4 linked regions of the Caenorhabditis elegans genome follow. The protein of the gene in region 3 purifies or fractionates together with the protein of the main gene of each other region. This does not show direct contact. Each region holds a gene or a part of one and is shown on either strand. Other genes may lie near its edges. The genes, in order: dnj-20, npp-20, ndc-80 and cdt-1.

The links.
Region 1: the proteins of ndc-80 (region 3) and dnj-20 fractionate together in Caenorhabditis elegans (co-fractionation; one large-scale study listed by BioGRID). This does not show direct contact.
Region 2: the proteins of ndc-80 (region 3) and npp-20 fractionate together in Caenorhabditis elegans (co-fractionation; one large-scale study listed by BioGRID). This does not show direct contact.
Region 4: the proteins of ndc-80 (region 3) and cdt-1 fractionate together in Caenorhabditis elegans (co-fractionation; one large-scale study listed by BioGRID). This does not show direct contact.

Annotation. Positions count from the first base shown.
Region 1 is NC_003280.10:9,618,147-9,625,934, reverse strand, and holds the start of dnj-20 (DnaJ homolog dnj-20), read left to right. Parts: upstream 1-1,758; 5' UTR 1,759-1,764; coding exon 1,765-1,890; intron 1,891-1,946; coding exon 1,947-2,042; intron 2,043-2,178; coding exon 2,179-2,343; intron 2,344-2,442; coding exon 2,443-2,508; intron 2,509-2,616; coding exon 2,617-2,787; intron 2,788-2,844; coding exon 2,845-2,966; intron 2,967-3,239; exon of another isoform or gene 3,240-3,520; intron 3,521-6,691; coding exon 6,692-6,815; intron 6,816-7,097; coding exon 7,098-7,295; 3' UTR 7,296-7,788. Other genes in the region: ZK1307.8 (Glucosidase 2 subunit beta), read right to left, coding at 1-308, 361-1,053, 1,197-1,296.
Region 2 is NC_003282.8:1,490,130-1,497,896, forward strand, and holds npp-20 (Protein SEC13 homolog), read right to left. Parts: upstream 5,894-7,767; 5' UTR 5,879-5,893; coding exon 5,831-5,878; intron 5,762-5,830; coding exon 5,687-5,761; intron 5,598-5,686; coding exon 5,476-5,597; intron 4,816-5,475; coding exon 4,501-4,815; intron 2,186-4,500; coding exon 1,915-2,185; intron 820-1,914; coding exon 709-819; 3' UTR 524-708; downstream 1-523.
Region 3 is NC_003282.8:10,084,564-10,088,951, reverse strand, and holds ndc-80 (Kinetochore protein ndc-80), read right to left. Parts: upstream 2,816-4,388; 5' UTR 2,806-2,815; coding exon 2,693-2,805; intron 2,646-2,692; coding exon 2,243-2,645; intron 2,191-2,242; coding exon 1,903-2,190; intron 1,856-1,902; coding exon 1,496-1,855; intron 1,418-1,495; coding exon 1,314-1,417; intron 1,267-1,313; coding exon 1,138-1,266; intron 1,066-1,137; coding exon 747-1,065; intron 699-746; coding exon 642-698; 3' UTR 515-641; downstream 1-514. Other genes in the region: ttr-39 (Transthyretin-like family protein), read left to right, coding at 156-349, 392-469; col-2 (Cuticle collagen 2), read left to right, coding at 3,515-3,794, 3,842-4,388. UniProt on the Caenorhabditis elegans protein: Acts as a component of the essential kinetochore-associated ndc-80 complex, which is required for chromosome segregation in mitosis and meiosis and spindle checkpoint activity.
Region 4 is NC_003279.8:3,222,632-3,229,781, forward strand, and holds cdt-1 (CDT1 Geminin-binding domain-containing protein), read right to left. Parts: upstream 5,474-7,150; 5' UTR 5,337-5,473; coding exon 5,271-5,336; intron 5,212-5,270; coding exon 4,248-5,211; intron 3,135-4,247; coding exon 2,282-3,134; intron 1,160-2,281; coding exon 988-1,159; 3' UTR 529-987; downstream 1-528. Other genes in the region: rom-5 (rhomboid protease), read right to left, coding at 119-319; txl-1 (Thioredoxin-like protein), read left to right, coding at 6,817-7,067.

The sequences.
Region 1 (7,788 bases), on a different chromosome or scaffold from region 3:
AACTTTCGTATTAACTTCATCGAATAGTCGACGTGCTTCACGTGCTTTTTCAGTTAATTGTTGAACTTCTGGTGGATAGTCTGGCATCTTCTCGTCATCCTCATCTGGGTGGGCAATATCCTCCGAACCTTCAGCATCGTGTCTGTCTTCTTCTGCTAGAAGATCATCGTCATCTGGAGCATTTTCTAAAGCTTTAGCTCTTTCCTTTTCCTCTTCTTCTTTGTGTCGGATGTCGTCAAGATGAGTGCGTTTAGCAGTTTTCAGTCGATCGTACATGAGTGACTGGAAGTGCTCCAAATCAGCTTCATCTGAAATAAATTAATATTTTAAATATAAAACCTTAAAATCTTTCAAACTTACCAACTGTGTGATATGCTTTAACCTCATCTTCACTAACGAATCCATCATTATCATCGTCTAAAAATATATTCTGTCTGAGCTCTTCTTTATCGATTTTTCCATTCTTATCCAAATCCAACTCATCGAACCATTCTGCTGCTCTCAACTTCTTCTTTTCATTTTTCACTGATTCCCATTGATTTCTATGTTCATCTTGCAACTTTCTCTCTGCATCTTCCGCAACCTTTTTCTCTCCTTCAAACTTCACACGATCCGGCTCCAAAAGTGCTCTTTCTTGTCTAAGTGGCTCGACATCCTTCAGCTTAGAATCTCTCAAAGCTTGTCCTTCCTTAGCCAACTCTTGACGCTTCTGGTATCCTTTTCTAGCTATATTTGCAACTTTTTCATGTTCAATTCTAGCTGCTCTGCCTAGTTCATCACAAATGTTTGGGCAATCGACACCAGAATCATACTCGTCACTTCCATCACAGCAATCGCAAAGTTTATCATTTACTCGGTTAGTTGGAATGAAATTTCCTTTATGACCGACATTGGAGCAGTAGAAAAAAGCGTTTCCACAAGCAGAAGTTCCGGGCTCATCACTTCCATCTTTACAATCGCAATAGTCATCGTTTAATTGGGAATAGAGAATTGTTTGGGATCCGTCCAAGCATCGGAAGGTGTCAGTTGTGGAAGGTTGGTACAGGTTGAGACCTGAAAATCGATAAATGAAAGTATAATGGGTTTTATATGTGGAGCCAATAGGGATTTTTATCTTGAAATTAAAATAAAAATTTTTGAGTTTAAAACTTTAATTGAACAGTTCATAACGATTTTAAAATGTTGTAAATACTTACGAGAATGAGGAACTCCCTTTACCGGTTTCAGTTGTCTCTGAGTGACGTCTTCAGCTGCTAAAAATGCAGGCAGTAGGAATATTAATATTTTTGGAAGCATATCTGTAAAATATATGCTTTGAAATTCTGAAAATAGTCAACAACATAGCAATAGAAATCAAAAAATTGATAATTCACAAAGAAAATTTTCAAAAAGAAAAAAAGAGGGTTACGGTTTTAATTTAAAGGCGCATATGTGGTTCAGGATGGGTCTCATGCCGATATCAATGTTTTAAAGTTTTAACGTTCGAAAACAAATTTTTTATTATTGATTTTTCTTTGTTTAAACAAGTTTTCTAATCATTTTCGACATAAAAACTTTAAAAAATACCAAAAACATGCCAATAATTTTATAACCGATAAGAAAAAATGCAAGTGCGCTCCACCGCTTCACCGTTTAACTGACGTGTGCATAAACGTGGTAGTTTTTGGACTTTTTCATCCGGAAAAATAATTTTCTTAGAATTTCAGCCCCAATTTCTTTGTGTCCTGCTCTAAATTTTCTAAAAAAAATTTTTTGCAGTAAAACATGCGGATATTGAACGTTTCCCTACTGGTCTTGGCCTCATCCCTGGTCGCTTTTGTCGAGTGTGGAAGGGATTTTTATAAAATTTTGGGTGTCGCAAAAAATGCCAATGCTAATCAGATTAAAAAGGTAAGTTTTTGAATTGTTAATTGAGTTTTTATATTGAAAATTTGCAATTATTTCAGGCCTATCGAAAATTAGCAAAAGAATTACACCCCGATAGGAACCAGGACGATGAAATGGCAAATGAGAAATTCCAAGATTTATCGTCGGCTTACGAGGTTTGTAGATTTAAAACTAGTTTTCATTCTGCCATTCAAAATAAGTTTAAAAAAAAACAAATACCCAAAAGAAAAATTTTGGTGCTGATTCTCCAAGATCTAATTTTCCAAAACGTCACAAAAATCGATTTTTCAGGTACTTTCTGATAAAGAAAAACGAGCAATGTACGATCGACATGGAGAAGAAGGTGTTGCGAAAATGGGTGGTGGTGGTGGTGGAGGCCATGATCCATTCTCATCATTCTTCGGAGACTTCTTCGGTGGCGGAGGTGGTCATGGAGGTGAAGAAGGAACTCCAAAGGTTATTTATCAATATTTAAAACTATTTCCTTTCGAATTTAGTTTCAAATATACGCGAAAGTTTAATTATTAATTAATTTCACAATTATTGATTTTTCAGGGAGCTGATGTGACAATCGACTTGTTCGTCACGCTGGAAGAGGTGTACAATGGACATTTTGTCGAGGTAAGTGAAATAGGACTTAAATCTGCAAAAAAGAATCCAGTTGAAATAATCGGATTATCATAGTTCACAATAACATGTTCCCCCTTATAAGAAATTCATTTTTTCCAGATCAAACGTAAAAAGGCGGTTTACAAGCAAACGTCAGGAACTCGTCAATGTAACTGCCGTCACGAGATGCGTACCGAACAAATGGGACAGGGAAGGTTCCAAATGTTCCAAGTGAAAGTTTGTGACGAGTGCCCAAATGTGAAGCTGGTTCAGGAGAATAAAGTTTTGGAGGTGAGCGATACTTTTTTTTTGGCAGTGAAGTTATTCTAATTCAACATAAATTTTAAGGTTGAAGTGGAGGTTGGAGCCGATAATGGTCATCAACAAATTTTCCACGGAGAGGGAGAACCACACATTGAAGGAGATCCAGGAGATTTGAAATTCAAGATTCGAATTCAGAAGCATCCAAGGTAGGTTTTCCTTCTCTTTTTAAATTTATTTGATCTTCCCCTCCTCAGAAGCCGTCTAGCTTAGAAAAATTGCACTTTTTTAACGAATTCCCTCAAAAACCCATTAGTTTCTCCGTTATTTTTTCTCCTCCTTGTTTCTAACGATTCCATCATTTAGTTAGTTAGTTTTAGTTGGAAAAGTGTAACATTTTTGACTTCCTCATCATCACACTCTTCACTCCACCACGCACTTGTACTTTTTTCCGCAGGTGAACGAACACTCGATGTTTTTTCACTGAAAATAGTGTTGAATTTTTGTTTAGAAATTGTATTTCTAACCCGGAAATGTGAAACTTCCTCGTTGATATGTCGAAAAATATGGGAAATTTGGAATTATTAAATCGTCAGAAAAAATCATCCCAATTTTCAAAATCAGATATTTTCGTGATTATTGAATTCTTCTTGTAACGCAGACGCCTAAAGATGAGAATTTTCGGTAGATCATGGGTCTCGCCACGCGGGCAATGCGTTACAGTAATCTGCTATCCGCGTTGCGAGACATTTCGTCGTTTGCATAATATGTTCATTTCCCTATAAACAAAAAATTCGCCAAAAAAGTGAAACCGCTCTTCCACTTAACACCTCTCACTCATAGTCATTCCGATTTTCTCCCATCATTTCCAACACAAAACTGTGAAACCAGTTCAGATTTGGCATGTGTCAATCACACATACTTATACTGTTGAATACTAAATACATACATAATACCCTAACGTCATTCATAACTGAAAATTTGTGAGAGAACATTCTCCTGTACTTTTCCGTCGAAAATTGTGATATAGGAAGTTTTGCTATTTTAATTAAAATTTAGACAGGCAGAAATCACATGTTCGCTTTGAGAGACCGCCCTGTTAGTCAGTTAGTCAACCCCGCAAACAAGCACACACACGAGAAAGTGAAGGTGGCTCGTGATTTTAGAGAAAAAACAGACATGTTCGGACTGTTTCACAATTGTTTGCTTTATTCCTTGCTCTTCCACCTGTCCAATCCGAACGAGCACATAACGCATTGCTAACCCGGTTTTTGCCAATTTATTGAATTAGAACAATTAATTGTTTAGCTCTCTTGAAATATCAAAACATTTAGTGGAAGCCTATTCGGTAGAATGTTTTCCCTTTGAAATGAACACTCATAGTTCAACACCCAACCATCCGCCCATCTCTCCTCGTTTACATTTCAATTGATTCATTTTCACTGATTTCACAATTTGAATGAGGGCGTTGGTACTGTGTGCGTATTCATCGTCACTTGTTTCGTCTCCTTGTTCATCTTCTCGGCAACAACAACGTTTTGTTTTTCAAAAGAAGAAGGAATTTATGATTTTAATCGTTGTTTTCGCTGATCATCGGATTTTTCGAATTGAACAATTTTCGGCATTTAAGAATGGCATTTCTGTTTCACATTTCTCTCAAAGTTTGCTACTGAACAGTGATGGGTCTGCCCAAACATCCGGTTAGAGCATTCCCGATTGATGAATCGATAAAAAATCGTCGTCAGCCGCAAACAGACGCACACATACTTTGTGCTCATTCATTTCTTCTTTTTCACTTTTTTTTTCGTCCGGCCCATGAGCTTGGTTTCTCTTTCTCTCTCTCTCCCTCTCTTGATTTTCTATTTGTCCAACTGATTGATGTGTGTGTAGAAGCGAAGTTTGTCATTCTCTCTCTGTGCTCCACCGGGCTCAAGACTAGGCTCTTGACGACGAGCACCAGGTTGCGCTTGCGTCAGTTCGTCCTTTCGCTCATTTCTTCTTTGGCTTCTAGCGTTGATTGACGGCTTATCTTTTGTCAGACGTTCTTTATCGATTACCATGATTTTGAGAAATTTTATTTCAATCTTTTAGGATGTGGATTTTCAAAATGTAACATGGTAATTTTAAGTTAAAAATTGCCTTCGATGCCTTCAAAATTCAAATGAAAATTGCCGATGAAAACGTTTGTTTAACGGTGAAATTAATCGGCAATTAATCTTTGCTGGCCTTCGACAGCTTGTTATTGTTAACCGAATTTTAGTCAACTGATACTAGTCACGATCTTCAGAATTGCCATTCTTCATTAAACCCCACGCATACTTTTATAGTTGTTTCCGAAATATGTTTCTTATCAAAATGAGGAATTGATTAAATTCCAATCAATCTAAATATCTTGTCCTCGTCCAACTCAAATGACAAGGTTGTGTCAATCGAGAAGATGATGATCAAGAAGAAACGTTGGAAACCGATTGATTGATTTGAATTGAAATGACATTATTTTCTACGCCCACCTTCTCTTGTTTGGGTGTGTATGTTGCAAGTATCTATTGTATTGCACTTCTTCCGTGTTTAAAGTTCTCCATTGCTTGATGTCGTTTGGGTTACTGTAGCTCTGGAATTTATATATTTTTCCATTTTGTTGATTCATTTTCAGAAATTTCCACCACCTCCACACAATGTGTTCTTTTATTTTGTGTGCATGTTGGGGAGAGAAATAACAAAAGTGTATATTAAAAAACGCCCACACCTGTGATTTTTCTTTCCCTTTCTCTCACTCTCTTCTCTCCCCCTACCACGCATTTCTCCAGGTCGTCGTCTCCAGGATTCTCTTATCAGTTTCTATCTCATCCGCCGTTTTCCTTCCCAATTTCCACACGTTTTTTTCCTTCTCCGCCGCAGTCGTCTCAGATTTTTTGTCAGTCTCGTCTTTTTATCTAATGAAAACTGGAATAGTTCCGGTTTTGTTGCTACTCATTTCGTTCTCTCGGGATTCGGGATAAGCGATATTACCCGATTACGCGGACAGGTTCCAACTTTGACATCAGAAGCTGACGATGAAAAAACTTTGACTACGTGATTCGGGATTTTTTAGGTATTTCTAGATAATCACACTTCATGTTCACACGGAACTTGCTGATAGTTCGATAGCTGCATTGAATCTGATTTGATCGTGTTTCACTGGAAGCGAGAGAATGTTCAATGTCTTTTTATACTTCTACACATTGATCCATAAATTAAATACACCTGAGGGCATACATAATATAGTGCTCCTGAATGATTTTAAAGTAACCTTCTCACACTGTTCTTATTTAAAAAATGCATAGTGGGAGTAAAAGAGTCAATCAAGATGACCCCGATCGACATCTTCTTCATCTTTTTTCCAATCTACTCGTATCGTTGTTCATGTCAATGACAATATCATTTCACTTCTTCTTCTTCTTTTCCTCCTTCTACTTCTAACTAACTACTACTATTACTAATCTCCGCAATATGTATATACATGCCTTCCGCGCCTCCTCTCTGCGAGTAGTAGGAGGAGATGTAATACGAAACGAATGTTTGATGCGTTGGCGGTATGTGTGTGTGTGCCCGGGCGGGATGCGTCTGCTTCTCTATGTCATCGTCTCGGTGCATCAATAGCAGCAGTTCTGACTCTCTCTATCACTGTCATCTCACACTGATCTGCGTTTTTGCTGTTGGAATTGATTGGGAATGAAGTGAGACATCACGCTATCTCTATCAGCAAGTGTTGTGTGTGTGTGTCGATCAATTCACGAATTGGCGGGAAATGATCGGCAGTTCGTTTTTGCTCGTCTCGTGTCTCAGAACTTTTAGTCTACCGTATATAAAATGAAATTTAGTTCCACTTCTTACTTTGGACCTTTCCAATCTCCGTTATAAGCTCATATAATCTCAATCTATAAATGTTTTACAGGTTCGAACGCAAGGGTGATGATCTGTACACAAATGTGACAATTTCACTTCAAGACGCGCTCAACGGCTTCGAAATGGAAATTCAACATCTCGACGGGCACATTGTCAAGGTTCAAAGAGATAAGGTTGGTTTTTCTCATATTTTTAGAGAATATATTCGTCACTTTCTGTTTTGCTTCACTAAAAGAATTGTTTAACTTAAAGGGGGTACAATGTTCGAAAGTGTTCAAACAGCTGATCACGAGAATGACGTGGCAAACATAAGGGTGGTGATGAAATGACCACAGTGAACACATATGGTTGAACACAACATTCACGTTTTCTGTTTTCAAAAAGCCAAAAGTTATAGATATTCTTTTTCTAAAATTAATTCCCTTTACCGTTATAATTGAACTTGATTTTTCCAGGTAACCTGGCCAGGGGCCCGTCTTCGTAAGAAGGACGAAGGAATGCCATCCCTTGAAGATAACAACAAGAAGGGTATGCTTGTCGTCACTTTTGATGTTGAATTCCCCAAGACGGAGCTGTCGGACGAACAGAAAGCGCAGATCATCGAGATTCTTCAACAAAACACCGTGAAGCCCAAAGCGTACAACGGCCTCTAAACATTAAATTGGGTGGATGAAGCCTAGAAGTCGACATCAATTACACACACAGTGACCACACTATTAGATCTTTTTCCAATCTGCAAGAAAATTTTTGAAATTTTGCATCGGAAAACTCGTGCTCGATCTCCGGATCAAATCCCACCCCCACCCAACCACTTCAAACCGAAAATCGCCCGAATCTTCTTCTAGCAGACGCTGATCTCTACGTCTTCATCTTCAACTTCATCAAGTCCATCATTTTATAAAACCAATCTTATTTTTCTCAGTTATTTTTTTTCAATGTTTTTTGAGTTTTCTGAGTGGCAAACTTTCGAATTTTAAATTCAAAAAATTTGTATCTGAAAATAATTTAATCATGTTTTCCACTCAAAAAGCCCAAAACCAAACTTGGCCAGCACTCGGTACTAGAAACTGCATCATTGATAAGTTTAAGAAGTTATGGAAATTCTTATGAGTTCACAAAAAACCTCTTATCACTATCATAATCTAA
Region 2 (7,767 bases), 8.6 Mb from region 3:
GCAAAAAAATGACACAAAACCCAAACTATTCGAGATTATTTCTAATTTCTAACAAATTTCGGTCAACTTCCGCTAGATAATAGTATCAACCAAGAAAAAAATTATTCCCAGCACGCGGGGTCGAACCCCGGTCTTCTGCGTCCCAGCCCAGCCCGTTGCCGCCTGCGCTACTGCAACCAATTTTTCGAAAAATCCTCGGAAATGAGCCAATATTGGTGTCAAATAAACGAAAATTGTGCGAGAAATTTGAACATGTGCATGGAAATTTGTAAAAATCATGTTTTCAAAAACTGTTCCGCATTTTTCCGAAAAAAAACTGATTTTTTTCAAGTTTCACTAGTTTCCAGCAGGTTATACTCAGTTTCAGCTTGTTAACAGTATCAATCACGCTAAGATAAAGAAAATTCCCACCACGCGGAGTCGAACCCCGGTCTTCTGCGTCCCAGCCCAGCCCGTAACCGACTGCGCTACTGCGACCAATTTTTCAAAAATAAGAGAAAATCTGAATTTAGTCGAAAAAAATCAATAAATAAATAAAACTTCATCCCGGTTTCGCATTAGTTTTTTGAGAGAGAAAAAGAAGGAAAATCATAAAATATCTGGATTCGGAGAAGTAAATGAGGAAAAAAATCAATAATAACAGGTACATATACAAGTTTTAAGAGGAATTATGGGTGTAGAAACAGCGAAAAAAAATAAATAATTTATTTATCTCTGAGCTCCCGGAGCTCCGACCGCTTGGCTCATTCCCTCGCGTTCCTTATTGTCACGTGGCACTTTGATCCATTGTCCCTGAAGATTTTCGCGCCAAATTGTGATCTGCAAAATTGGAAAATGAGCGTTTTTAGGCGTAGGTGCCTGCCTGCCTGCAAACAGAGCTTATCATATGCTTTTTTTTGTAGAAACGGCACTTTTTTAAGAAGATTTGCCTACCTACCTGTAGGCACGGTAGGCACACGTGTAGGCATTAGGCAGGCGGGAACATTTCGTCTGGTTTTTCGTAATTCTAGGTCGAATTTTTCAGAATTTTCGTTGAAATTCAATTAATTCCGGTGATTTGATCGGAAAATTCGAATTTTTCGCCATTTTCAGTAAAATTACTGCAAATTCTGAATTTTTGAGTATTTTTTTTCCATTTATTCAGATTTTTCGTGCCAAAATGCTTTTTTTGCAAGTTTTCGGTAGCTTTTTCTCAAATTTTTCATAAAAATTGAAATTTTCATGTGCTGCTCAAAAATCGATACTTTTCAACCGAAATTCGCCGGTTTTTATGTAAAAAAAATTGATTTTGAAGTGATTTTGGCCAATTTTCCGGTAAAAAAAATTTTTTGTTTTCCCACTTTTTTGCCAGTTCTCAATAGATTTTTTTTTCCAAAATTTTGAATTTTCCAGGTTTTGCTCGAAAATTAATATTTTTAGCATTTTTCGATCAAAATCACCTGAAAAAATCGAATTTCAACGAAAATTCTGAAAAATTCTTCCTAAAATTACGAAAAACCGGGCAAAAAAGATAGAAGTTGTATTAAAACCAAAAAAAAAAAAAAAAAAAAAATCAAAATTTTCCTCACAAAAACCTGCCACCTGCCTCATGCCTACTGCGGCTAGAGGTAGGTAAGATTTTTTTCCGTTTTTTTTAATGCCAAAATGCTTTTTTTTTTCGCTATTTTTTCCAAATTTTTTCGAATTTTCTAGGTTTTGCTCGAAAAATCATAATTTTGAGCTAAAAAATCCAAAATTTCAGCGATTTTTGCTAAAAATGTGACAATTTTCCGTTTTTGAAGCGATGATTTTCGCTGTTTTTGTACACTTTTTTTTTTCAAAAATTGTGCCATTTTTGACGTAAAAAATCCATAATTTTCCCAATTTCGGTGCCAATTTCCACATTATTCCACACAAAAATCCTCGATTCCATACCACATTATCATCGCCAGCAACTGAAAGGAATGATCCACACGGAGAAAATGATGAATGGTACAATGCACACGGAGCCGTCTCCAATAATTTCGCCTTCCACTCTTCAGTTTCAATATTTGAAGTACGGAAAAGTACCAAATTTCCCTCCATTCCACAGCTAACAATTGTATGTTGTCCATTATTTGTTACCGGGCACCATGCGGCTTCACGTACAAAATCTGTGTGTCCGGCTAGGGTTTTCTCGAGAATCCATTCGTTTGTAGCGTCGTCACTGGAGGAAAAAATATTGGTGATTTCGAAGGAAAATTGTCATTAAGAAAATGAATTTTTCTTAGGAAACCCCAATAACACTGCAACTTTTTCCTCACGAGGGACGAGGAAAAGTGGTTTCTAGGCCATGGCCGAGGGGCCGACAAGTTTCAGCGGCCATTTATCTTGCTTTGTTTTCCGCGTGTTTTCTTTTGTTTTTCACAGCTTTTTCCCGTTTTTTCTTATTAAAACTGATAAATAAATATTTTTTGCAGATGCTAAAACAATTTCCAAGTTAAAAAATTATGTATCCAGTGGGCAAGCAGCGGTGAAAGTGGGCAATGTAAAATGATGGATTACGGGAATACAAAACCTAAACTTTTTCTGAAACATGATACATATGCTGCTTAAATGCTGAGACTACCTGATTTTCATAACGAGTCCGCTGAAAAAGTTTTGAGGTTTCCACAATTCAACTTTTTTGGTAAAAAAGTCGAGATTTTCGCACAAAAAATTGAATTTTGAAAACCTCAAAACTTTTTTAACGGTCTCGTTATGAAAATCAGGTAATTTCAGCATCTAAGCATCATATGTATCATGTTTCAGAAAAAGTTTAGGTTTTGTATTCCCGTAATCCATCATTTTACATTGCCCACTTTCACCGCTGCTTGCCCACTGAATACATTTTTTTTTTACTTGGAAATCGTTTTAGCATCTGCAAAAAATATTTATTTATCAGTTTTAATAAGAAAAAACGAAAAAAATCGATGAAAAACAAAAGAAAACAGGCGGAAAACAAAGCAAGATAAATGGCCGCTGAAACTTGTCGGCCCCTCGGCCATGGCCTAGAAACCACTTTTCCTCGTCCCTCGTGAGGAAAAAGTTGCAGTGAGAAACCCCAATAAATTCGACAAAATTCAGTGGGAAATCAGCTTTTGGGCAGCTTCAAAATTGGGATTTTCCAAAGCGAACCCAAATTTCTGCATTATAATGGGGAAATTTTTTTTTTTTTTTCGAATTTTCACCAACAATTTTGTTTGTAGCGCGTCGTCACTGTAAAAAAATGGGTAATTTCGCGGAAAAATTGTCAAAAAATGGATTTTTCAAGAGGAAATTCAGGAAATTCGACAAAAATTTCGAAAGAATATACTTTTTTTCTGATTTTTCAGCAAAAAAGATTAATAAAAATTTCCGATTTTGGGGGTTTTTTGAAATGAAACTGCGAAAAATCTGGAATTTGAGAATTTTTTGCAAAAAAAACAGCTTTTGGGACAAATTTTCAAGTTTAAATTATTTTTTGAGTGATTTTTTCAGTTTTTTTTTAATCAAAAAACCGAAAAATTGGATGTTTCAGGGGGAAAATCCAGGAAATTCGACAAATATCTGTTAAAAAATATCCAAAACCTGGAAATTTTGAATTTAACACGATAATCTGAAATTCGGGTAGAATTCGCTTTTACTTTTACAATTTTTTAGAAAGAAATTTATTAAATGGTCGGATTTTTAGTCTTTTTTGATGGAAAACTGTGAAAAAATGGGTTATTTCACGGAAAAATTGTCAAAAAAAAGGATTTTTCAAAGGAAACTCTAGAAAAATCTGGAACTTTGGCGAAAAATTTCCATTTTTTCTCGTTTTTCGCGTCGTCACTGGCAAAATAATGGGATTTTTCAGGTGAAAATTTAAGAAATTTGAGAATTTTCGGTGAAAAAATACGCTATTGGGTCGAATTTTTAACTTTAACATTGTAAATTTTGAGAATTTCAGAAAAAAAAACAATTTTTTCATTGATTTTTCAGAAGGAAATTTTTTTTAATTCTGGAATTCAGGCTTAGGCTAAGGCTTAGGCCTTAAAAAAAATCCGAATTTAATTTTTATTTTGCGAATTTTTTCATCCCAGAAAAACTGACTTTTTCAGGGGAAAAATCTCAGAAATTCTTGTGATTTTAGCAAAAAATCAGGTAATTTTGAGGGAAAAATTTGAATTTTTCAAAAATTTCCGGTAAGAACTGCACTAATTTGTGATTTTTAAACAAATTTTGGATCAAAAATACAACTTTTTTGGGAAAATTTCATAAAATCTGCCAATTTTGCTGAAAAAAAAGTAAAATTTTACGACTTTTTTTCCGAGAAGTTTTGGCAATTTGAGGCTTAGGCCTAGGCGTAGGCGTAGGCTTAAGCTTAGGCTTAGGCTTACAAAAAATCTGACTTTTGAGAACCTGAGAAAATTGCGGTTTTTGTATTTTCCATCGAAAAAACGTCAAAATTTCACGTTTTTCGGGTCAAAAAAAATCTAAAAAATCTAAAAAATCGATTTTCAGTGCATTTTCTCTACTCACAAAGCCCAAATCTTGACATTTTTATCATTTCCAGCTGAAACAAGACGTTTTTTTGCCGCCGGATCAGCACTTCCAGGTGCCCAACACACTGAATTAACTCCTTGTTCATGACATTTCTGAATTTTCGACGAAATCCATTCGTTGCTCGAATTGTCGTATCGAAGAATACCGATATCACCGTCAGCAGAGGCAGAAGCCAACATTAGGCCATATTGGTGTGGTGCAAAGGCCACACAAGTCGTACTGGCCTCATGAGCGGCCCATTCGTAGGCTTTTTGCCAGCGGCCTTGTTGTTCGTTCCAGATTATCACTTTTCTGGAAAGAAAATCGATTCATTTGGGGGAAAATTGGCTGAAAATCTGTGAAAATTGATGAAAAATGCCTGAAATTAGAGCAAAATGAGCTAAAAATTGCAAAAAACCCGTGAAAAACTACTGAAATTCATGGAAATTCCAGAAAAAAACGTTGGATTGGGGGGTAAATTGGCTCAAAATTCCGAAAAAAAAACTATGAAAATTGAATAAAATCGATAAAAATTACAAAAATCGGGGCAGAAATCGACTAAAATTCGGGAAAAAATTGCAGAAAATCGGTAAAAATTTCATAAAACCCGTTGAAGTTTTTAAAATTTTGGTGGATTTGAGGGAAATTAGGCTTGAAATTCAAAAAAAAACTGTGAAAATTGACCGAAAATACTGATTTTTCTTTAAATAATCCGTGAATTTAAAGGGAAAATAGCGTAAAATCGGTGAAAAATGATCAAACTCATTGAAATTTCAGAAATAGGCTGCATTTTTCAATATTTGTGTCCATTTTCTTCCAAAATCACTCTGTTTAACCAATTTTTGGCAAAAAACCCAAAAAATGAGCTGAAAACCGATTAAAAACAGAGATTTTAGCGTATTTTTATGAAATTCTGATCGAATCTAGCAAATTTTGATCATTTTTCCGTTTTTTTTTCCAAATATTCCGTACTTATCATAGGAAGCGGAGGCAAGAAGTCCTCCATATTTCGGATGAGCCCATGAGACTTTCCAAACGGGACCACTGTGTCCGACAAGCTCCGCCATCGGATATGACTGGCCATTTGGGCGAACCTGTAATATTTTTATATTTTTTTTTGCGTTGAAATTATGAAAATTCTGGGATTTTTGCAGAAAATCCAAGATTTTTCGCCTTTCCTGACCTCAAAAATCTTCACAAGACGGTCAGATCCACACGTGGCGAGTCGGCTTCCGTAGATGTTGAGCTGAGCGTCGTGCTGCAATTTTTCAGAATTTAAAAAAAAAAAATAGATTTTCTTAGCTAAAATTCAGATTTTCCGACTTACAATTGCGTCACGATGTTGTGTATCGATTCTCTGGCGGACCGTGGTCATTTTTCAGCTGAAAATCTAGAAATTTCGAAAAAAATCGCTAAAAATTGAGTGAATTTCGGCAAAAATTGAATTTAAAAATTGCAAGTTGGAACGATCGAGAAACGCGTCAACACGAGAAACGCGCCAGCAAACGATAGCTGGCGTGTTTCTCGTGCGCCAAGGAACGTGGATTTAATCACGAGAAAATAATAATTGATGGAAACCTGGAGAATTCGAATGGGAAATTGTTGATAATTTGATAAAAATAACAATTTCTAGTTCTACTTTTTAAGATTTTAAATCAAAAACAACTCAGGGAACCTTTCAACACAGATTAAAAGATCAAAGTTCTGAAAAACAACTTTCTTAATTATATTGTCCTTGTTTTTTCTTCTGTTTTGATTTTTTCTTCTGATCATCAATATCAACACGCCGTACTTTGAAGTCTGAAAAAAAGATTCAAATGAAAAAAAAACACATTATATTTTGTGCTTAGCCTCCGTGTGTCTTATTGCGGGTCGCGTGACGTCGTCAGCGCAATTTTTACGATCATTTCTTTCTGTCATGATCATCAGTTTGATTTTCTAGCGTGATTTGGAGGCGAAAATCAATAAATTATAATAGTTTTTCGCTTATTCCTGTTTTAAAACATGTTTTCTATATTTTTATTGAGAAACTTGAGATTTTTAAAAAGAAAACTTTAAAACCCGCTTGTATTTTTGCAATTATCTTATTTTTTTCAATTTCTTCGCTGAAATACTTGAAAAATTGCAATTTTTGCTGAAAATAATTCCAAAAAGTGTGCGCGGCAAGTAAAATGCATTGTACGCAATTGCGTATCAATGCATCTAACCCGACGCGCAGTTTCAAGGTTACTGTAGAACATTTTGTTTTTTTTTGTGTTTTCCCCAATTTCCAGCCGAAAAACTCGAATTTTATGTGTTTTCCAACGTTTTTTAAAATGTTTTTTTTTGTAAAAATTTTAGAAAGTCAGCAAAGTTAACGTTTCTATCGAAAAATCCAGTTAAAAATCAAAAAATTATCGATTTTTCGGATTAATTTGGAAATTCAATCGAAAATGAACTATTTGAGGAAATTCTGGCAGTTTTTGCGGAAAAAAATTGAAAATTGACAGAAAAGTCGATATTCTAACAGAGTTTTCACGCAAAATCTAAAAATGTTGAATTATTTTTCGATAGAATTTCGGGGTTTTAAAAATTTTTAGGACAAAAATCAATAATTTCCAGAATTTTTTTGAAAAAAGTTTCGAAAAATAATAGTTTCAAGAAGCATCAAAATCGTAAGTTTCAGTTTTTTTCAAATTTCCGATAAAAATCCCCAAAAAGTAAAAAAAAATTTTTTTTTGAAAAAATCTGTTATTTGTGCCGAAAAATCATTAAAGCAAATATAAGAAAACTATTATTTATCTAAATTCTTATAGAAAATCCAATTTTTTTTATAGAAAAATCAAATTTAAAGAAAAAAAAAATCAATAATTTCCCCCAAAAGAATCCTGCCACCCCAAAAATTATCAACAGAGCACAATTGCATCATATTCCATAAAAAATATCATTTGGCACACTGCCAAGTCTTCATCACACCAACATCTCTGCACTCTCCACATCTCTGAACCCCCTTCTTTCAGTGTCTGCGTCTCCACACCCTCTACACTCTCTCACCCTGGCTGAGGTCCTCTTTCTCTTCAATTCTGCACGTGCGGACTGCCCTTTTTATTGTTTTTCTCCTTTCTGCCACTTGATTTGATAGATAAATTATCAAAAAATCGATAATTTTAAATTTTTTGCGAGAAAGTTGGAAAATTCCAGAAATTTTCCAAAAAAATCCCTGTAAATTTGTTAAAGTACATAGTTTTTCCGAAGAAAATCGACAAATCTCGGAAATTCGAGGTT
Region 3 (4,388 bases):
TATTTAAATTCAAGTGAATACCAAAACAAGAACAAATTATGATAAAACATTGTTCACTTAAAAAACAGGATCTCTCGTCTATTTTTGTGGGGACGATCCCCACAAAACCGTTATAAAACATTGCTTCAAAAAACTACAAAAAATTCAATTTTCAGTCGATCCAGACGATCTTATTGCTGAAACCCATGTAAACGAAGACGGAACTTTCGAAGTATCTGGATTTGCAATTTCAATAACTGCAATTGATCCCCAACTACGTATATATCACAATTGTCGTTCATCTTCCAAAGTTTGTCGACGCAAGATTACTTTCACTGTCCCAGACAATTATGTGAACAAGGGGATGCAGGTAATTGATGATACTTCATACTCCATCAAAATAATTTTTCAGGTGAATAAGTGGTTTGACTTAGGAGTTCCTAACATGGAAATCGGTGTGAAGCACAAAGAGGAACCACATTGTTATTAAACTTGCTTGAAACCATTTTTTGTGTAATATATTAAAGTTCGCTTTGCTGGAAATCATTGTTCATTGGCTTTTTATAAAATAAGTCTAAACCACAGAAATAAATGTTAGAGTCATTTTTTTTTTCTTTTAATGAAAGCTAGTATTATTCACAGAATGATTATGCCAAAGGAGACTAAAGAACCGCCTTTTCAATGCCAGCACATTGCACGTGGAATCCTATCTTTTTGTTCTGAAAAAATGAAAAATAGAATAGCTCAGTAAAATTGACAGGACCTACCTCAATCTCGGCGATTTCCACTACCATCAGATCCAATATTTGCCGGATTCCAGCTTCCAATTGAGATCTCTTTTGTATGTGTTCTTCTCCAGTTGCAGACATTCTGGCGGTCTCATCTTCGATTTCTTTCTCGAGGCTTCCATCAAGTTTCATTTGCTTTAGAAGTACTTCTTTTTCATTCAATAGTTGTTCATATCGTTGTTCAATATGTTTGCGAGCATCTTTCCAGCTATCACGTTCGTTTCGACGAATTCGTTCTTCGCGAGCCTCATTCTTCTTCGCTTCACAGAGTGTTTCGCTTTGAATTTGGATTCTTTCTCTGAATTATTGTTTATAAATGTGTATATTATTAACATTCAATGGAACGGCGCTTAATTCGAGTACAACTTACTCTGCGGTAACTGCTTTATTTGAAAATCTTGACTGTTCAGTCTCAAGCTCAAGCTTTCTCTGATGCAACTGTCGGCTGATCTCTGGAACCCATATCTTGTTCAACGTCTCCCAGTAATCCTTAAGATCTCTGAAAATGTAGATTTGTGAATTTTTAATAAATTGTTAGAAATTTACCTTTCATTCGTTGGAGCTCTTAGTGGTTCAAGATTCATTTGAATATTAAGTCCACTGAGAATTTTCATGATTTGTTCTGCGAGATGAATGAATTTGGACTTTTGCTGAAACATACAAATTTGATTGTCATACAAGTATTTCCGTGAATGATAGGCATTCAACTTTCCAAAAACCTAGAATACCTCTTTGAAGAAGTCTTCATCTTTGAGTTTCCATGTTTCTTTTGATAGACGATCCAACTCGCTTTGAATTTCCAGTACCACCTCCTTGTCTTTATTATTGTCAAGATTCATTTGACGCACTTCTTTTCCTGTCAATCCGTGAATTTGTTTTTGCAACTCAATTTTGTTCTTCAGATCGTCCACCATCTTTTGCACTTTTTCATTTTCTGAAATTTTCTCCTCTTGCTCCGACTTCACCATAGCCAGTTCTTTCTCCATATGCTGCTTAACATGAAGATTTTGCTCGAGATAATCTTTAGCTTTTCGGATGTCGTCTCTGATTCTTGATATCTCTTCTTTTAAGCTTGCTTCGTTTCCTTTCTGAAAATAAAACTTCTTTAAAACAAAAGTATCGAAATTCTACTTACATCAGCCTCTATCTCATCACATTCGTAATTGAGCATCTCCAGAGCTGATGCAGCTGTTTTAGTCATATCCTCGAATTCATTGGATTGCTCGAAATACTTCCGTAGACGATGCTTCGTGTCGTCCCAGTATGAAGAACTGGGATTTTCTGCTGCTTTTCGATCATTTGTATAATCTCTGAATGTACTTGTCATCCATGCATAATTGAGCGTTTTTTCTTGAGCTTTTCCCTGTTCCATGAAATCACCGAACAGGATATTTTGTGTGTCCTCACTGACAGCAGAATTGATCTAAATGGTTAAATAAATAGGGATGAAAATAATAAAAAAATCAGTTACTAACTCTAATGATATCAATAAGCCAAGAAAGTGCGTCAAGAAGATGTGGATATCCATGAGAAGATCCCATTGGTTGGTAGTAGCTGTTTTTGAGTGGATACGGGTATCCAAGACCTTTGAATATCTGGGACACCTCCTCTTCAATCCGCTCATGCCGTGGAAATTCGTAGTCTTTACTGAGATGTTGGTAAATTAATTCGAAACAAGCAATGAAATCATTCTTTCCACGAGGTTTCATAATGAGCTGTTCTGATGGTGCATCCGAGCTTTCATATTCCACAAGAAAGTTGTAAATTTTGCTTCCATTTAAGCTGACCAATGATTTCACATCTCGCGGAGCAACTGATGAATTTTTAGTATTAAACAATGACACACGAGGTTGACTCAGACTGGGGCGAGCGTCAGTTCTGCAAATTAGATTAGTTCTTCATCGCACGAAATTGGATATTTTTACTTTCTGACTGATGTTGATCCAGTATAATCGGTGAATCTTTTAGTCGGAGTGATAGCGATTGAGGCACGTCCGTTGAGATTCAAGCCGCCCGTTTTTCTTCGATCTCCAAACATTGTCAAGAAACTGTAATGAGCGAATAAAATTGACCAGAACTGAATATACTAACGGAAGGCGACGCATATAAAATTTAAAAAAATAATTCTGGCAACTATTGAGAACTTTGTTTTCCAACTTAAAGAAGAAAAAACATTTTTACAGAAATATTTATGAAAAAAAAAACGAAAATAGAAATTTGAGTAAAAACAATATCGAGAGAGAGAGAGAGAAGTCACATTTGAATTTTCCCGCTATAGCAATTGTGATTGGAGCGCACTTACATTACAGAGACGCTGCACTCGCGAGGAAACTGATTTCCGGAGATTCCAGAATGAAGGAATTGTTGGAACTTTTGAGATATAATTTCAAACACGATTAATATACAATAGAATTGAATTTTCCTACAATGGTTAGATCATTTCCAGTCGGTATATTGATAAACAGAAGTTGCCCCTTAATATTTGCATTTTTGTAATTGAAGTTTCCAGCCAATAATTACGTCAAATTTTTTTTCTTCGAGAAACTGATATAGTTTACAATAATAAACCAGTATCTTTAACCAATGGAGTGATAACACAGAACTGGATCCTCTTATTCTTTCTCTTTTCTTTCTCCTTAACAAGAACAATTATACCAGTTCCAAGTAATAGCCATGGACGTCTCTAGTATAAAAACATCAGTTCTTTTGGAATTCTTCAGTCCATCACTCACCCTCCAACAGTAATCATGGACATCGACGCTCGTATCAAAGCTTATAAATTTGTTGCCTATTCGGCAGTCACCTTCTCGGTTGTCGCCGTTGTCTCTGTTTTCATCACATTGCCAATGGTTTATAACTATGTTAATAATGTGAAGAAACAGATTCACACTGATGTTAATTTCTGCAAGGTTTCTGCTCGTGATATCTGGAGTGAGGTGCATCTTATTAAGGATGCTCCAGGAAACAATACTCGTGTTGCTCGTCAAGCTTATTCCACTGGAGGAGCTGGAGGAGGCGGAGGCGGAGGTAAGGATCTTGGTTCACAGAGTTTAAGTATTTGAATACATTTTCAGGCGGCGGAGGATGTGATGGATGCTGCAATCCTGGACCACCAGGACCAGGTGGATCTCCCGGAAAACCAGGAAAGCCAGGAAAGCCAGGAGCTCCAGGAGCCCCAGGAAATCCAGGAAAAGGAGCATCAGCTCCATGTGAGCCAGTTACTCAACCACCATGCCAACCATGCCCAGGAGGACCACCAGGACCAGCTGGTCCAGCCGGACCACCAGGACCACCGGGACCAGATGGAAACCCAGGATCACCAGCCGGACCATCAGGCCCAGGACCAGCCGGACCACCAGGACCAGCAGGACCAGCCGGAAACGACGGAGCCCCAGGAGCCCCAGGAGGACCAGGAGAACCAGGAGCATCCGAGCAAGGAGGACCAGGAGAGCCAGGACCAGCTGGACCACCAGGACCAGCCGGACCAGCCGGAAATGACGGAGCCCCAGGAACCGGAGGACCAGGACCAGCTGGACCAAAGGGACCACCAGGAGCTGCTGGAGCACCAGGAGCTGACGGAAACCCAGGAGGACCAGGAACCGCTGGAAAGCCAGGAGGAGA
Region 4 (7,150 bases), on a different chromosome or scaffold from region 3:
AATTTTCAATGAATTTTTGATATTTTTTACACAAAAAAAAAACCTTTTCTACTTCAATTTTCGCCGAAAAAACTGATTTTTTTACTAATTTTCAACTAAAAAATAAAAAATCCCGTACTTTCCACAAATCCGACATCGGCCTGACAGTTCTAGCGTCTGGACTAAACGCCTGCTTAATCTGATGATTTTTCGTGAGCTCTTTGAGCTCCTGCTGTCGTAATCGATCCCGTAATCCGTCACGTGTGAATCGGCTCGGCAGGCTTGTGCATTTTGTGAATGACCGGGAGCAAAGAAAGCCAACGAGGCGATTACTGAGCATTTTCTGAATTGAAAAATTATAGAAAAATTGAATTTTGTTTTAAAAATTTAGTTTTTCATTGAAGAATGATGAAAAATACATAAACGGTTGAAAAACGGATCGCGAAATGCGCCAGCAATGCACCGAAAATGCGCCAAGCGGAAAATAATTTTTACGCTGAAAATGAATAACAGCTTGGAATAAAAATTTTAATTCCATTTTAATTTTCTAAATAACGTTTTGATTTATTTGAAATTTTAAATTTGAAATTGCAAGAGTGATAACTTGGAAAAAAGTGAAAAAAAATTGGAAAATGGTACAGAGCATGAGAGAAAAAACGAGAAGAAAAATAGTTACAAGTGACGGATTTTTTGGAAAAGTTCCGATTTTTTCAGGAATTTTCAAAGAAATTCTGGAAAATTGAGAATTTTTAGAAATTCTTTGAAAATGTTCAGGAATTACAAAGATTTTCGAGAAGTTATAGTGGAAATTTTGTGATTTTTCGGGAATTTTTTGGAGAATTGTATTGAAAAATTTCCGATTTTTTTCCGGAAAATTCGTGAAAAAATCGAAAAATGCTCAAAAATCTTTGAAATTTCTGGAAATTCTTTGGAAAAAAATTAAAAATTGCAGGAATGTTATGAGAGAAAAGTGAGAAAATTAGTTACAAATGGCTTAGAAATTAGTTTTTAATGAAATTTGAGAGATCTTGCTGCTTTGGATGGCCGTGGTGTGTGGTGGTGGCTCATTTGTGCAATTTGGGTGTTTCGTTGCTCATCAATCTTTTTCTGAGTAATTTGGAGCTCTTCATCGAGCAACTCGTTGATTGCTTCAATGTTGTTGTCGGTGAATCGGAAGTATCTGGAAAAAAATTAGAATTTTTTTTGTTGAAATTTTACGATTTTCAAGTAATTTTTTTCACAAATGTCTGTGTCGATTTACGGAGCTCGTGTACTCCTCGAGGAGAAGTTATGTTTTTTTTGGTGGAAATTTTTGATTTTGGTCCATTTATTGTTGGAAAACCACAAATTTAATTTTTGCGATTTTTTTTTTGGAAACTTCTAAAAAATTTGGAGAATTTTTATGATTTTTTTAATGCTAAAGTAGTAATTTTGAATTTCCTATTTTTAAAATGAATTTTTCGAAATTTTCCAAGGCGAATTTTTCGAGAATATTAGATATTTTTCAAAATTTAAAAAAATCTGTAATATTTTAAACTCTCGCAGAAAATTGTCATAATTTTTTTTTTGGGAATTTTCAGGATTTTTTACAAACAATTTTTTCGAATTTTTTAAAAATCTCCAAACATTTTTGCTAATTTTCAGGAATTTCCGATTTTTCAATGAATTTTTAAAAAAATTCAAAAATTTTCAGACGAATTTTTAAAAGAAAAAAAATTTGCAGAAATCATACAAAATCGAGCACCATATCCAAAAACTACTCTTCTCCTCGTGGAGTACACCGTCTGCGTAAATCGAGACAAAGAAATTTTTAAAATCAAATTTTCCGATTTTTTTCATAACTTTTTAAAAATTCTTTGATATTTTTCAAAAATTTCTGAAAAACCACCGCGAATTTATGGAAAATTATATTTTAAAACTTGCGAAATTTTCAAGATTGATTTTTCTTTCAATTTCGATGCAAAAGAATTTGCAAAAATGACCCGAAATCGAGATTTTTTTTTAATTTTCAAAAAAAAAGTTGAATTTTCTGAAAATTCCCATTTTTGCAAATGTTCTGATATTTTTTTTTTACTAATTTGCTGCTTTCTAGAGTTTTCAGCATTTTTAAGAGAATTTCCGATTTTTCAATGAATTTTAAACATTTTTTCAGACATTTTATTTCAAAAAATTTGCGAATTTTCAACATTTTTTGAAAACAATTTTTTAAAGTTCGCCGAAATCATCCAATTTTCAAGTTTTTTCTTTCGATTTCGATGCAAAAGAATTCGCAAAAATGGCTCAAAATCGAGAAAAAACGAACTTTTTGTTCATTAAACTAGCTTCAGAGATGTACATCGGTGCGACCTCACACAACAATCTCAAATGATCCATAATATCAGGAATCGAAGACGAGTTGGACGAGCTGAACTGCACAAATTTGCAAATCACATCAATTTCCATCGTCTGAGCCCGTTTCGCCGTATAATGATTGCACACAATTCGAACATATCGGTCACGGAGCAGTGTTAGACGTTGCTTTCTTCTCTCAAGATCCTTATCAATACAAGCTTCAGCCGCCTTTTTGATTGCTTCCTTCGCACGAATACGCTCTAAAAGTGACATTGCTCCCTGGCTCTTCTGCTCTTTTTGCATCTCGGAGAACTTTTTCGGCGAGATTGGAACTGTTCCAGATGCTCCTGTAGTTGATTTCAGTGGAGATTTTAAGTCTTGATAAGCTTTTTGAACAAATGATGGTAGAGATACTTGATCCATATATTTATCTAAAGCTTCTTTCATTCCAATATGAATCGATGATTTCTGTAGAGGAGGTTCTGGAAGTTTCACCTGCGGCAGTGATGGACAATGCTTGTCAAGTCGGAATAATGGATGCATTCTCTTAATATTCGAAGAAGCACATAATCCTTGAGATTCCAAAAATTCCGTATGACATTTCGTGACAATCGAGGCCAACTTATAACGGAAAACATGAGCTCGGTCTCTTTGACGAGCAGCGTCCAGGCGAATCCTCCCGTCGACTTCTGGCTTTCGGAGAGCCGGTTGAACTTGTTTTCTGGGGCTTTTCTTTGGGGAGAGCAGCTTTGATGGGCAGACTAGTGGAAGATCTTCGGTGTCGCCGTCGGTGGGGGATTTTTCGTAAATGTAGCCTCGTAGATCTGCAAAAAAAAAGGTTTTTTGTAAGCAGGAAACTTTTTTTTGACTAAAAATTGGGGTTTTTTCGAATTTTATAACTAAAAAATTGCGTTTTTCTGGGATTTTTTGAACAAAAAAAGGTGTTTTTTTCAATGTTTGGCCACAAAGATTGTGTTTTTCTCAGATATTTTAAACTAAAATATTGCGTATTTTTCGCATTTATGACTAAAAAATTGCGTTTTTTTCGGATTTTTGAACAAGAAAGGTGTTTTTTCGTATTTTTTTGACTAAAGAAATGTGTCTTTTTTTTTCGATTTTTCGACTTAAAATTGTGTTTTTTCCAGATTTTTTAAATTAAAAATAATTGTTTTTTTCTAATTTTTTGAACAAAAAATGGTGTTTTTTCCAATTTATAAATAGCGTTGTTTCGGATTATTTGACTGAAATATTGTGTTTTTTTTTCGGATTTTTTGAATAAAAATTCGGTATTTTCGGTTTTTTTTACAAAAAACGCTGTTCTATCGGATTTTATGACTAAAAAATTGAGCTCTTTCGGATTTTTTGAATAAAGAATTATCTTTTTTCCGATTTTATGACTAAAAAACGGTGTTTTTTTCCCGGATTTTTTTCTTAAAATTGAGTTTTTTCGAATTTTTTTACTAAAAAATTGTTTTTTTTTTGGATTTTTTAAACAAAAAAGTTTTTTTTTCGAACATCTGGTAAAAAGCTGTGTTTTTTCTTACTTTTTGAAGAGAAAATTGTGTTTTTTTTCAGTTTTTTTTTGAGCAAAGCTAGTATTTTTAGAATTTCCAAAAATTAATATAAAACCAGGGCTTTTTTTTTGAATTTTTTGAAAAATTTTCACATCAAAAATCAGTATCAGGAGCATGAATAGGGTCTGTTAAAAAATAGAGAAATATTTTATTAATCGTTAAATATTTTCGAGTTCAAAAATGTGTGGAGGTGATCAAACAGAGAAGAAAAATCGATAAGTCTTTTTAAACTTAAAAGAATGCTATTTTACGATTAATATAATATTTTTTCTATTTTCTGACACTAAATTTTAATGGAATACGTCAGAAATAGCTGATTTTTTAAATGTTTTTATTGCAAATTGCCAACCGAAAGCTACGAACCTTCCACGAGATTCGGTCGAACCTCAAGTTCATACTTCCCGCCCTGGCCGAATGCTTTTCGCTGTTCACGCATCTCAATATGATATGATTGAGGATATACATGAAGAATTTGTGACAAATGTTCATTGGAAAAATCCTTTCCAGACGTATTCTTAACATTCTTGATCAACTCAGGAACCACACAGCTTCGATTCTGACCGATAAAGATCGCAGTGATCTGATCGATTCGTTTGAAAGTATCAGCGAGATGTTCATACGCAGTTGGAAGTTCAATCCGTTGACGTGCACTCTCCTTAACTTCATCAATAAGCCGTGAGCTCTTCAGAAACTCTGCAGTCATTCGTTTTCCCTCTTCTTCGTGAGCATCATCCTGCTCTCCGCGAACTTTTTCGGCCGATTTCAGGACATTAAAGCCGGGAATAATATAGTCTGGAACTGGCTTCTTCGGTGAGAACAGATTACGAGCGGCCTTGGATTTCTGAGGTGATTTGTGATGCTCAACAATAACTGGTTTCTTCGGAGATTTCAGCAATTCCACGTGATCATCGACCTGCTTCGTTTTGTTCTTCAAATTTTGCTCATGAATCGCTTTAGCTGCTCCTTTTGCAGCTATTCTTGCTTGTAAATCTGCAACAGTTCGAATTCCAGCCTTCTTTTTCGCTGGGCCGGATGCTTCCATTAGCTTATCGATCGCTGACTTCTGAGGAGCCGGATTTTCCAGAATAATATCTTCATGGATTTTGGGAAGCTCAGGGGCTTCTGCTTCAGCTTCTCTAGCTTTTTTTGGCGGAGTTCCGGAACTCGATAATTCCGCTTGACGGGATGGAGTCCGAGCGCGAGTTCGGGAGGATTTATTCTCGACGATTGGAGCAGCAGGAATTTGTACTTCTTTAATTGTAGTGGTCTTTGTGATGCTTTCATCGATAATCTTCTTTTCTCCTCTTGCTCTCGGTTTTCTGGTGGTCTGAAAAAGAAAAAAAAACATTAAATAATTGCAATTCATAACTTCAAACTCCAATTTACCTTGAAAAAGTCGGTTACAGCAGTCTGCGGAGTCTGGGACCTGGATCTAGTCACCCGGGAACTCATTTTTATCAGGAATAAATAATAATTTCAGCGAAATTATTCGCGAAAACCAAAAAATAAATGGGAGAGACGACAGACAAAGCGTACACTTTGAACAGTCCCGGTTTCCCGCACTTTTTGTCCATTGGAGCGCGTTTGTTGTCCGCTGCGTCTCCACGCTTCGTGCACTCCCTCGCCGCACCGGCATTCATTTTGAATGCTGACAAATCCACGTTTCATGCCGATTTTCTTAATTTTCCGGAATTTATACTATTTTTTGCATATTAAAATTGTGTTCAGAGCGTTTAAAAGTGCTTTTCACCTATTTTAGCGTGTAAAATGCCCAAAATTACCCAAAAATCAGTTTGAGAATGAATGCATTTTACTGTGGAAACCTTCAAAAAATCTTTTTTTTAATGAATAATTATTTAAATTGGCGTGATTCCTATATTTTTTGAAATTTTTTTTTCGTTTTTTCTTCTGAATGAGATATCTTTTGCTCCTAGAACTATAAACTGAACAATTTTGGAAGCGGTGATCCCAGAAATTACAATTTTTCGGTCAAAATTTCCCCAGAAATCGCCCAAAAAATAACGAAATTTCACAATTTCTGCGTATTAAATAGCTAAAATATATTCGTGCATTGTTCCGGGAGTATTTACAATAGCTTTTGCCAGAAATCCCAAAAAAAATGATGCGAAAGCTTAAAAATTGGAATTTCAGCGGGAAAAATTCAACAAATTCAACTACAAAATAACAACTTTTTTCAAAACCCAATTTTTTTCTTTAATTTTTCTTTAGATTTTGGGGATTTTTCCCATTTTTTGAGATTATTTTGCATTTTTCGATTAAAAATCCGTATTTTAAAGGTGGCGTAGTCGAATTTTTTTAAAATTGCTTCATTAGACTCAAAATTGTCTCAAAACACCGAATTTCATGATGAAACTGCTTGAAAACTTCTCAAAAAAAGTTATGACTGCTCAAAAAATGGCCTAAAATTAGTTAAAATTTGAAATTTGACCGACTTGTCAAGCGGCTGGAAACTAACTTTTTTGAAATTACCGTCTAATTTTGAGTATACAATTATATTATCTTGCATTTTCAATTTGATTCAGATATTTTGAAGTCGATGGACGGCGAGATTTTTAAATTTTTTAAACCAAATCTCGCCGTCCATCGACTTTAAAATACCTAAATCGAGTTGAAAACGCAAGATAATTACATTTTATATATACTCAAAATTTGACGGTGATTTCAAAAAAGGTAGTTTTTAGCCGCTTGAAAAGTCGGTCTAATTTCAAATTTTAACTAATTTTAGGCCATTTTTTGAGCAGTCATAACTTTTTTTGAGAAGTTTTCAAGCAGTTTCATCATGAAATTCGGTGTTTTGAGACAATTTTGAGTCTAATGAAGCAATTTTAAAAAAATTCGACTACACCACCTTAAAAAAATAAGTGCAGTAATCTAAATATTAAATTAATTTTCAGCCCATCTCCCCTACACCATGCCAGTTATCAACGTGAAAGACGACGAAGACTTCAGAAATCAGCTTTCCCTCGCTGGTCTCAAGTCAGTGATTGTCGATTTCACTGCAGTCTGGTGCGGACCGTGCAAAATGATTGCTCCAACATTTGAAGCTCTGTCCAATCAATATCTTGGAGCAGTTTTTCTGAAAGTTGATGTGGAGATCTGCGAGAAAACCAGCTCAGAGAACGGTGTCAATTCGATGCCAACGTTCATGGTTTTCCAGAGCGGGTATGGGTCTCATCTGGAATTGGAATAGAAATGCGGGAAATTTGAAGAAATTGCAAAAAAGTGAAGTCTCAGAAATTATTTCA